Linked DNA regions of Saccharomyces cerevisiae S288C. The gene in region 2 interacts genetically with the main gene of each other region. Each region holds a gene or a part of one and is shown on either strand. Other genes may lie near its edges.

The links.
Region 1: of ECM22 (region 2) and STE12, changing one suppresses a phenotype caused by changing the other (phenotypic suppression), as found in Saccharomyces cerevisiae (one study listed by BioGRID).

Annotation. Positions count from the first base shown.
Region 1 is NC_001140.6:272,158-275,916, reverse strand, and holds the start of STE12 (homeodomain family transcription factor STE12), read right to left. Parts: upstream 1,744-3,759; coding exon 1-1,743. Other genes in the region: SAM complex subunit SAM35, read right to left, coding at 2,301-3,290. UniProt on the Saccharomyces cerevisiae protein: Binds to the DNA sequence mediating pheromone induction (called the pheromone response element = PRE) which is found in the upstream control region of several a-, alpha- and haploid-specific genes.
Region 2 is NC_001144.5:600,454-604,212, forward strand, and holds the start of ECM22 (Ecm22p), read right to left. Parts: upstream 2,011-3,759; coding exon 1-2,010. Other genes in the region: Rho family GTPase CDC42, read right to left, coding at 3,759-3,759.

The sequences.
Region 1 (3,759 bases), on a different chromosome or scaffold from region 2:
TGGGTATTGATTTATATTTTGAGAATAAAATGTGCTAGGAGGATAGTTTTTAGCAGTTGTAGATGGTGCTCTCGAACTATAAGGTGAAACAGCAGTGTTCCACTGCATGGAATTTGAACTTTGCATGTATGGGAACATCGCGGAACCTGGTGTCGATCTATAATTCGGTGTGTATGGTCTCCCAACATAGGTTGGAGCTGGTTGCATAGCTTGAGGGGGCAAAACATTCCATGAAGTTGCAGTTTGTGGATACAGCATATTGTTATCACATCCTTCTGGTGGAAAGAAAAAATCGTCCGCGCCATAAAAGGCTTGATCGAGTAGAGGATCCCCCCCCATGGGATTATACGGCATTTTTGGGTAGTATCCTGGAACCATTCCGTTTGGGTAAGATTGCTGGAAGTTGTTAGAATATAATTGGTGTTGTTTAGTTTGCTGGCCAGAGTTGTGAGATTTTGCATTTGTACAGTTTTCATTTGGCCGAGATTCATCAAAATCCATAACTGGTTCGTCATACTTCATGTAGCTGGTAGGGTCGCTAGGAGATACCAATTTTTCCTTGTTATTGTTAGATGAATAAAAATCCCGATTTGTCATAAAATGTTGCCTCGATGATGATGGTGGCACTGGGAAAGTGGGTGCCACTGATAACTGATAGGGGTATCTATTAAGAAGAGAATTAACGGGCATAGAATCCCTTTCATTCACGTTATCATAGGAAATAGGCATGGAAGGGGCAGCTGGCGTAAAAGCCTGTGGAGGGAACGGATCAAACGCATTTTCCTCCGTAGGGTATTCAACAGATACAGGAAAATAGTCGAGAGGAAAATCTTCTTCGTCTCTGCCCTTAGCGGTATTCTTGGGTAAGTCATGAGGCGTTTCTTCTGTGAGACCATTCAATTCGAGAGTATTGGGTTCTATAATCAATTTCTGAGGAATAAAATCATTAATTTGAGAGGGGGATTCTGGCGCATCGTCATCCATGAGGCCAACGCCTAAAAGCGGCTGATTAGTTACTGTTACCAACTCATTATCCTTAAAATTCTCGCTTTCTAATTTTGGAGGCGAATTATCTGATTTTGTTGTACTAGATGGTCTTCTAGAATCTAAATGTTGAAGTAACTGATCGTAGAGAGGCTTATCAGATGAGGAATCATATGAAAAAGATAAGGCGGGCTCATTAACGGGCTTAGTCGTTGAAGGCTGATTCAAACTTTCTCTTTTTAAATCTCTTTCCAACGCATCCGCAAACAACTTATCATGTGCTACACTGAACCAAAAAAATACTTTCTGCTTTTTTTGGGTTTTCAGACACATATTTCTGAATAGAAACGACAAAAATTCGGACTTTGGTTGTTCTAAAGTTGCATCTATACCACATTTGAGATTTCTTAAATCTGAAAAAATACCCTCTTCAAATTTTTTCTTTTGAACTACTTCTCTCCCAAACTTTTGCATTCTGTAAAGACAACATTTGACAATATCAGTACCTGTAATATAGTATAGATTGTTCCAAAATACACAAGAGACAAAGCCTTGTCCACTATTCAGATAGTATCGCCTTATAATTTGGTTTTCTTGCCAATTTACCGGCGCTGTGGCTAAAAAGAATTTTAGATCGCCGATTAACCTTAGCGATTCTTCAACTTCGCCCGGAGTAGCTTTACTGACTTCATCGTTTTCATTATTAGCTTGAACTTTTAAGATTTCCTCTGTTCTACTATTGGTTATTTGGACTTTCATCCTTGGTGAACAAGACAATTCAAATAAAGAAAGCGGTTCCGCTATAAAAGTGTGTTTTCTTCGACGAGTCTTGTTTGAGAAATATCAATATCCACTCTAGGTCTCGCTTGGGACACTTATAAAACAAGTCTTCAGTGCTTACCTGTTATCTTTTCCTATTTTATGAATGGCACGAACGTCTCAAAAAAGTCAACTAAAAAGAAGTAATCTAATTGTAAAAGGAACGTAGTGGTACTATGTGCGAGAAAACTAGCGTACGAGTACTTCGATTTATGGTGTCGAGACCTGACCGCGAAGAGTTGTTCAATCTTTTTTAGGCTGTTTTGTATTAGTTTTGATATATCTTAAGATGTTGCAAATTCGTTTCTTTTAAAACAATTTTTATCTGTTTCACTTTTTCTATTGAGACGAAAACGGACAACGGCGTTTGTTTCATTTTGAAACGAGCTCTCCGAAAAGAAATGCTGTGTTTCAAATTATGCAACACTCTAGAGTTCATATATTTATACACACGAAAACTTCATCTATATCGTTTACATACTACAGCTTGAAAGTGATTACTGAACGAAGTTCTTCAGGGTGTCTTGTGCAAACTGGACCAATTCTTTACATTCGTTTTCAACAAATGTCTTTAGCTTTATGGGTTCCTTAACGTTCGTTATACAAAGAATGTAACTTGCAATTTTCAGATGTAAGTAAGTGGGTTGCCCGTCGCTTTTCAACATATCTTTTAAACCTAAAAGAACTTGCTTGCTATTCTCGAACAAAACGTTCAAGACCTGCTCTTGATTAACGGAGTTGTGATGGTTGTGATAAACTCCTTGCATACTCTTGACGATTTCTCGATGGCGGAACTGGAACTTGTTCCGCTTTGTTAGGGATATCTTCAAACTCTTTGCGGACAACTTCTGTAATAAAGAGTTTTCTACGTCCAATGGAGTGACTATCGAACCACTTAACTTCTGGCAAGAGTACAATTCCATGAATTGCGCATCTGAGGCACAGAAAATTATTTGCGTGATCCAACAATCGTACAGCACGGTATCCAGCAACGTATAGTACATCAACTGCTCAGCATCATCAAGTATCCGAGACCTCATAATTTCGCTGATTGCCACGGTGGATCTTATAATTCTCTTCTTGTAACCCTCAACTAGAATAGGTAGGGCCTCATCGGGGTTAGAAAGACGGGACAGAACGAGCATTTCATGGTTACAGGTATGCGATGGGGTTTGTTCCTGCGAGTGCGTGGGTAAGACTAGACCATTCTTTTGACACAGCGCAAGCTGAACAAACAGACACCATGGATCTGTGGCCAATGCCGCCCCTGTATTTGCCTCCAAAAAAACGTTGTAAACACCTAGCTTGTACGTCCCCTCCACAGTCAACTCAGAGCTTCCACCACCGCGTTCTGTGAATGTGTAGGACCTCCGCTGTATTTCTAATGCAACGGCCTCGTCCTTGTCAGTCTGCGCAGCATATGTTTGTAACGGAAATGTGTCAAATATCCGTTTTACTGGCATGGGAACACTGAATGAACTTACCATTGTGCACGATGGCTTCGTTTTAGCCCTATATGAGACGACATACAAGAGGCCTTCACACCATTTATTTCAGCATTCACTTCTAAATATCGTCCCGTTACCCTCATCGCTACTGCCGGGCGTTCCCAACCCCTTCCGAGGCAGATTATATTTATTTATCTTTTTAACAATTTGTCCCTATATAGGCGGGCCGAACACAGCACGTGAAAGAACTCTCAGGCTTCCACAACAGGCCATATCAAGTCCACACTTCCCTCATTACTAGCATTTTTACACAAGCAGTCCACGCATTCCGCAACAGTGTTCACCTTTCTTTTCCCTAACTTATCTTATTATTTGTTTGTTGATCGCAAACAGACCCTTTTTTTTGGTGAGCGCATTTTACACAGTCTCAAGTGTCCTCTACTATAAAAATACAACCTCAAACAGTACTTACTGGCGTCCGCAGAATATTACTGCACTCTCAATCTGT
Region 2 (3,759 bases):
ATTATTGCTATTGTCATTATCATTATTATGATTACTTTGGTTGATTACAGCTTCACCCAAATCACTCAAGTCAACAGAAATTAAGTTATAAAACTTGGATGTCTCCGACAGGGGCCATACAGCAGTTAGTATAGTTACGGCGCCTTTAACATGGAAAATCCATGCCGTTGGTGAGCTGCTTGAAGCATTTGCCAATGAATCTAGGATTAATATTAGAGCACTAGCCACCAAAGCATCTGTGTTATCATCTGAAATTTCGAGCACAGCCTCTCTTAACAGTCTCAACGCTTCTAAACGATGACTAGACACGTAGTTATCCAAGCCGGCTTCAGTTCTGGACAAATGAGTGGCGCTAAAAGCCAAAATTGTATGCATCAAGAAGGGAAAATGAAAAGCCAAATCCGGAATATAAGTGCTCCATACTTCAGGACCAGAAATGCCTGCTTCGGTTATGGTATGCCATACGTCAGTACAATAGTGATGAAAAAGTTTTAGATCTATCAAATTCAAATTTGATTTTCTAGACAGCCCGACTAATTCAGGGACTAGTCGTGAGGCTGATGAAGCGTTTGAATGGGGAGAAGATTGTTGTTGAGTGTGAGAATTTGATGAACGTGGAGACAATGCCTCCGAGTTGGATAACAGGTCACCCATTGGGGACGTCTTCAAAGTAGGAGAATTTCCCAAAGCGGTCCTGTTGTCCGGTATAGATAACAATGACTTTGTAGAGGTTACATTGGATACTCCCGTTGAAGGGGACGCAATGTTTTGATCTATGGAAGGTTTGGACAACGTGTGTGGGGGACTGATTGTGAGACCGGTATTGTCGATTATCAAGTTTTTGTTATGAGATAGTATATCAGAAGCAGTAACTTTATTTTCGTTTCCGTTAAGGGGGTTATTGCCCGAATTAACAGCATCCGTCTTAGTATTATCCAATGGGTTCTTCGTAAATTGCTTGTTTTTGTCCTCCTGTTCCTGTTGCATATTTGCGAGTGCCTCCTCTGCTGTGCTAACTTTGATTGCTCTGTTATTAGATGTAGCAAACTTTCCGAGGCCAAATAACTCTTGAAACTCAGAGGCCATTCCATTTGCAGCACCGTATGGAAATAATGTATTGAAGCTCTTCATATTGAAGTTCAAGCCCATCTTGTTCAATTGCGCTAGCTGGTCGAAGGGAATATTGCTGAAGGGGGACTGTGTTCCTTGTTGTTGTGGAATTTGCTGATTTTGTTGTTGAAGTTGTGGCTGCTGCAATCCATTCGTCACCGAATTTAGCCTACCAGGCGAGAGTAAGCCGTTAAGGCTACTTGATAAATTCATGGCCGTTGATTGAAAACTAGGTGTTATCGGTATACTCAATGGCGAATTCCCTGGTAGGGCCATGTTTGGGTGGTTGTTGTTTATCATTGAACTGGGAGCTGTTTGTGTTATATTATTATGCGCTTCAGCTCCATTTGCACTGCTGTTGGTACTGTTACTGGTGTTATTCACTAAACTCGCTAATAGGTGCGGTAACAAAAGATTCTCCATATTATTGGATACGGATGGAGGAACGCTATTAGGGGAATTGCTTTGTTCATCAGTACCAACATGTGGCAACAGTTGCTGCTGTAACTGAACTTGCTGTTGTTGACGAAATTGCTGTTCTTGTTGATGATGAAGTTGCTGTTGTTGTTGTTGTAACATGATGGCATTGTCACTCAGATTTTTCTTGCCTACCCTATCGTGGACCGCTGATGCAAATTTTGACGACGAAGAATCTTTTCTTCTTCTTGGCTGAATAGGGCTGTAAACACAGTCCAATTTCATGTTTGTACATTTCTTGCAAAATGGTTTGCCTTCATCACATTTTACTCTTCTTCTTTTACAATTGTCGCAACCGGTCTTGGACTTGTTATGAAACTTCCGTTTCCCTGTCGAAGTCTTGCTCACTTTCTTGCCCCCAACCTCAATCAGTTCAGCATCCTTCTCTCTTTCTTGTCCAGCATTCCCATCATCGGATGTCATGTTATGTTAGATGGAGATCTATGGATAAACGAAATATAAACCTTAAATGAAAAAAACCGTCGACTTAACTCCTCTATATTATGTAAAGGCGAAATGTTATTTGTGCCTTTGAAAAGTGGAGGTCTTGGTTGCTTCTCCTTCGACGATAATCGATTTCGGTGACTAGTTAGTAGATGATGTAATCGTAGACGCAGGGAACCCTTGCTTTTCCCCAATCGTAACAAAAAAAAACAAGGGGAAATAAACTATTAGATAGTACGAGTTCGTTAAGTTAAAAAAAAGGCTATAAAAGTCGAAGAACGAATGATTACGACCAACATCTATTGTTCAAACTTGCCTTCGTTGAGTTTATCGAACGCGCTCGTTTAAATTTTTCCGACAAGAACGAGGAACGAGTCACCAATTACGTTTTCGGCTCTGTCGGTTGCAGGATCTGTAAAAGCGATATAGATACACACGTCAGCATGAAGCTCTTATGATTTGGCGAGTAGTGTTAGTACGTTAAATGCTACGACTCGGCATATACTGTGCTCGTTTTTATCAGTTTCATCCGAGGATTGTAGCCTTTTTTTTTCATTTGTTGATGTTTCTCTAGTATTTTCCGTCTTGTAGTGGTTTCGGGTATGTTGAACATAAACATTAAAAAAGACGATTAAATAAACTTGAGTTTGTACAAAGGAAAGCTGTAGTCATAGAGTATTTAGAAAAAAAAGCAGCCACAGTTTACATGAAGATGTGACCAATGAGGAGGCATCGGTTTGCCTTTGAATCTCAATCGCTTGAAAATTGAGTTCTTTTCGAATGATGACACCTCCGAGAAATGGCATTTCTATGCTAGCGCCACTCTACCCTTTCAAACGTCCGTACTCATATGAAGTTTCATCCTTCACGCAGCGATCTAAAAAGTTGTAAAAAAAAATACATTTAGGCCTAGCTATATATGCTACTATGTATCATTCAGTGAAATGGCTGAGGTTATATAAAATACTGGGAGGTCGTTTTTACGCTAAAGCAGACCTTGCGGATCTTTTCCTGTAGAATATATTTGTAGCATAAGTCCAATTTTACGGGCGCATTTTCAAAATCAAGGTGATATTGACATATTTTGAAGAGCACCCAATGGGCTAGCTGCAAGAACAAAGAGACCAGAAAGCCTAGAATTAAATGCCAGAAAAATGGAAATTTATTCTAGACAAAAATTGTTCGGCACCTCTACAGACGTTTAACGAACCTGGTCCGGCCTTTGAGGCGATCAAAAAAAGGCCCATTTTTGTGTTCCGCGTAATTGGTTTGCGCCTTTCCATGGAGCTTGGTGGGCGACATTCTCAAACTGGTTTCCTGATACATCATGCACGCCCGTAAAGGGTTTAAGTATTGATTGCTAGCCTGAATGTTTCATATGCATACCGTGTCTATGCAACGAATATATTTCAGAAAAAAGCACGAAAGCCAAATTTTTGATGTTAAGAGGTGTTTTTGCCCGTAAACGGAGAAGACGTGGTAGGACTCGCAAATGTCGCGTTTAGCGTTGAAGAACATGGAAGTATTGAACGTTTGGGGCTTGACGGCTCGACTTTTTTGCACTACTCCGCCTTGAACAGACGGATGATCCTGGCGCAAGAAACAAAGAGAATCAACTCTGAGCAAAGCGAAAAAATGAAATACAACGATAATAAAAGGATAGGAAGGTGTATATATAAGTTAATTTTAGATATAGATTAAGAAAAGATGGGCATATACTAATATGAC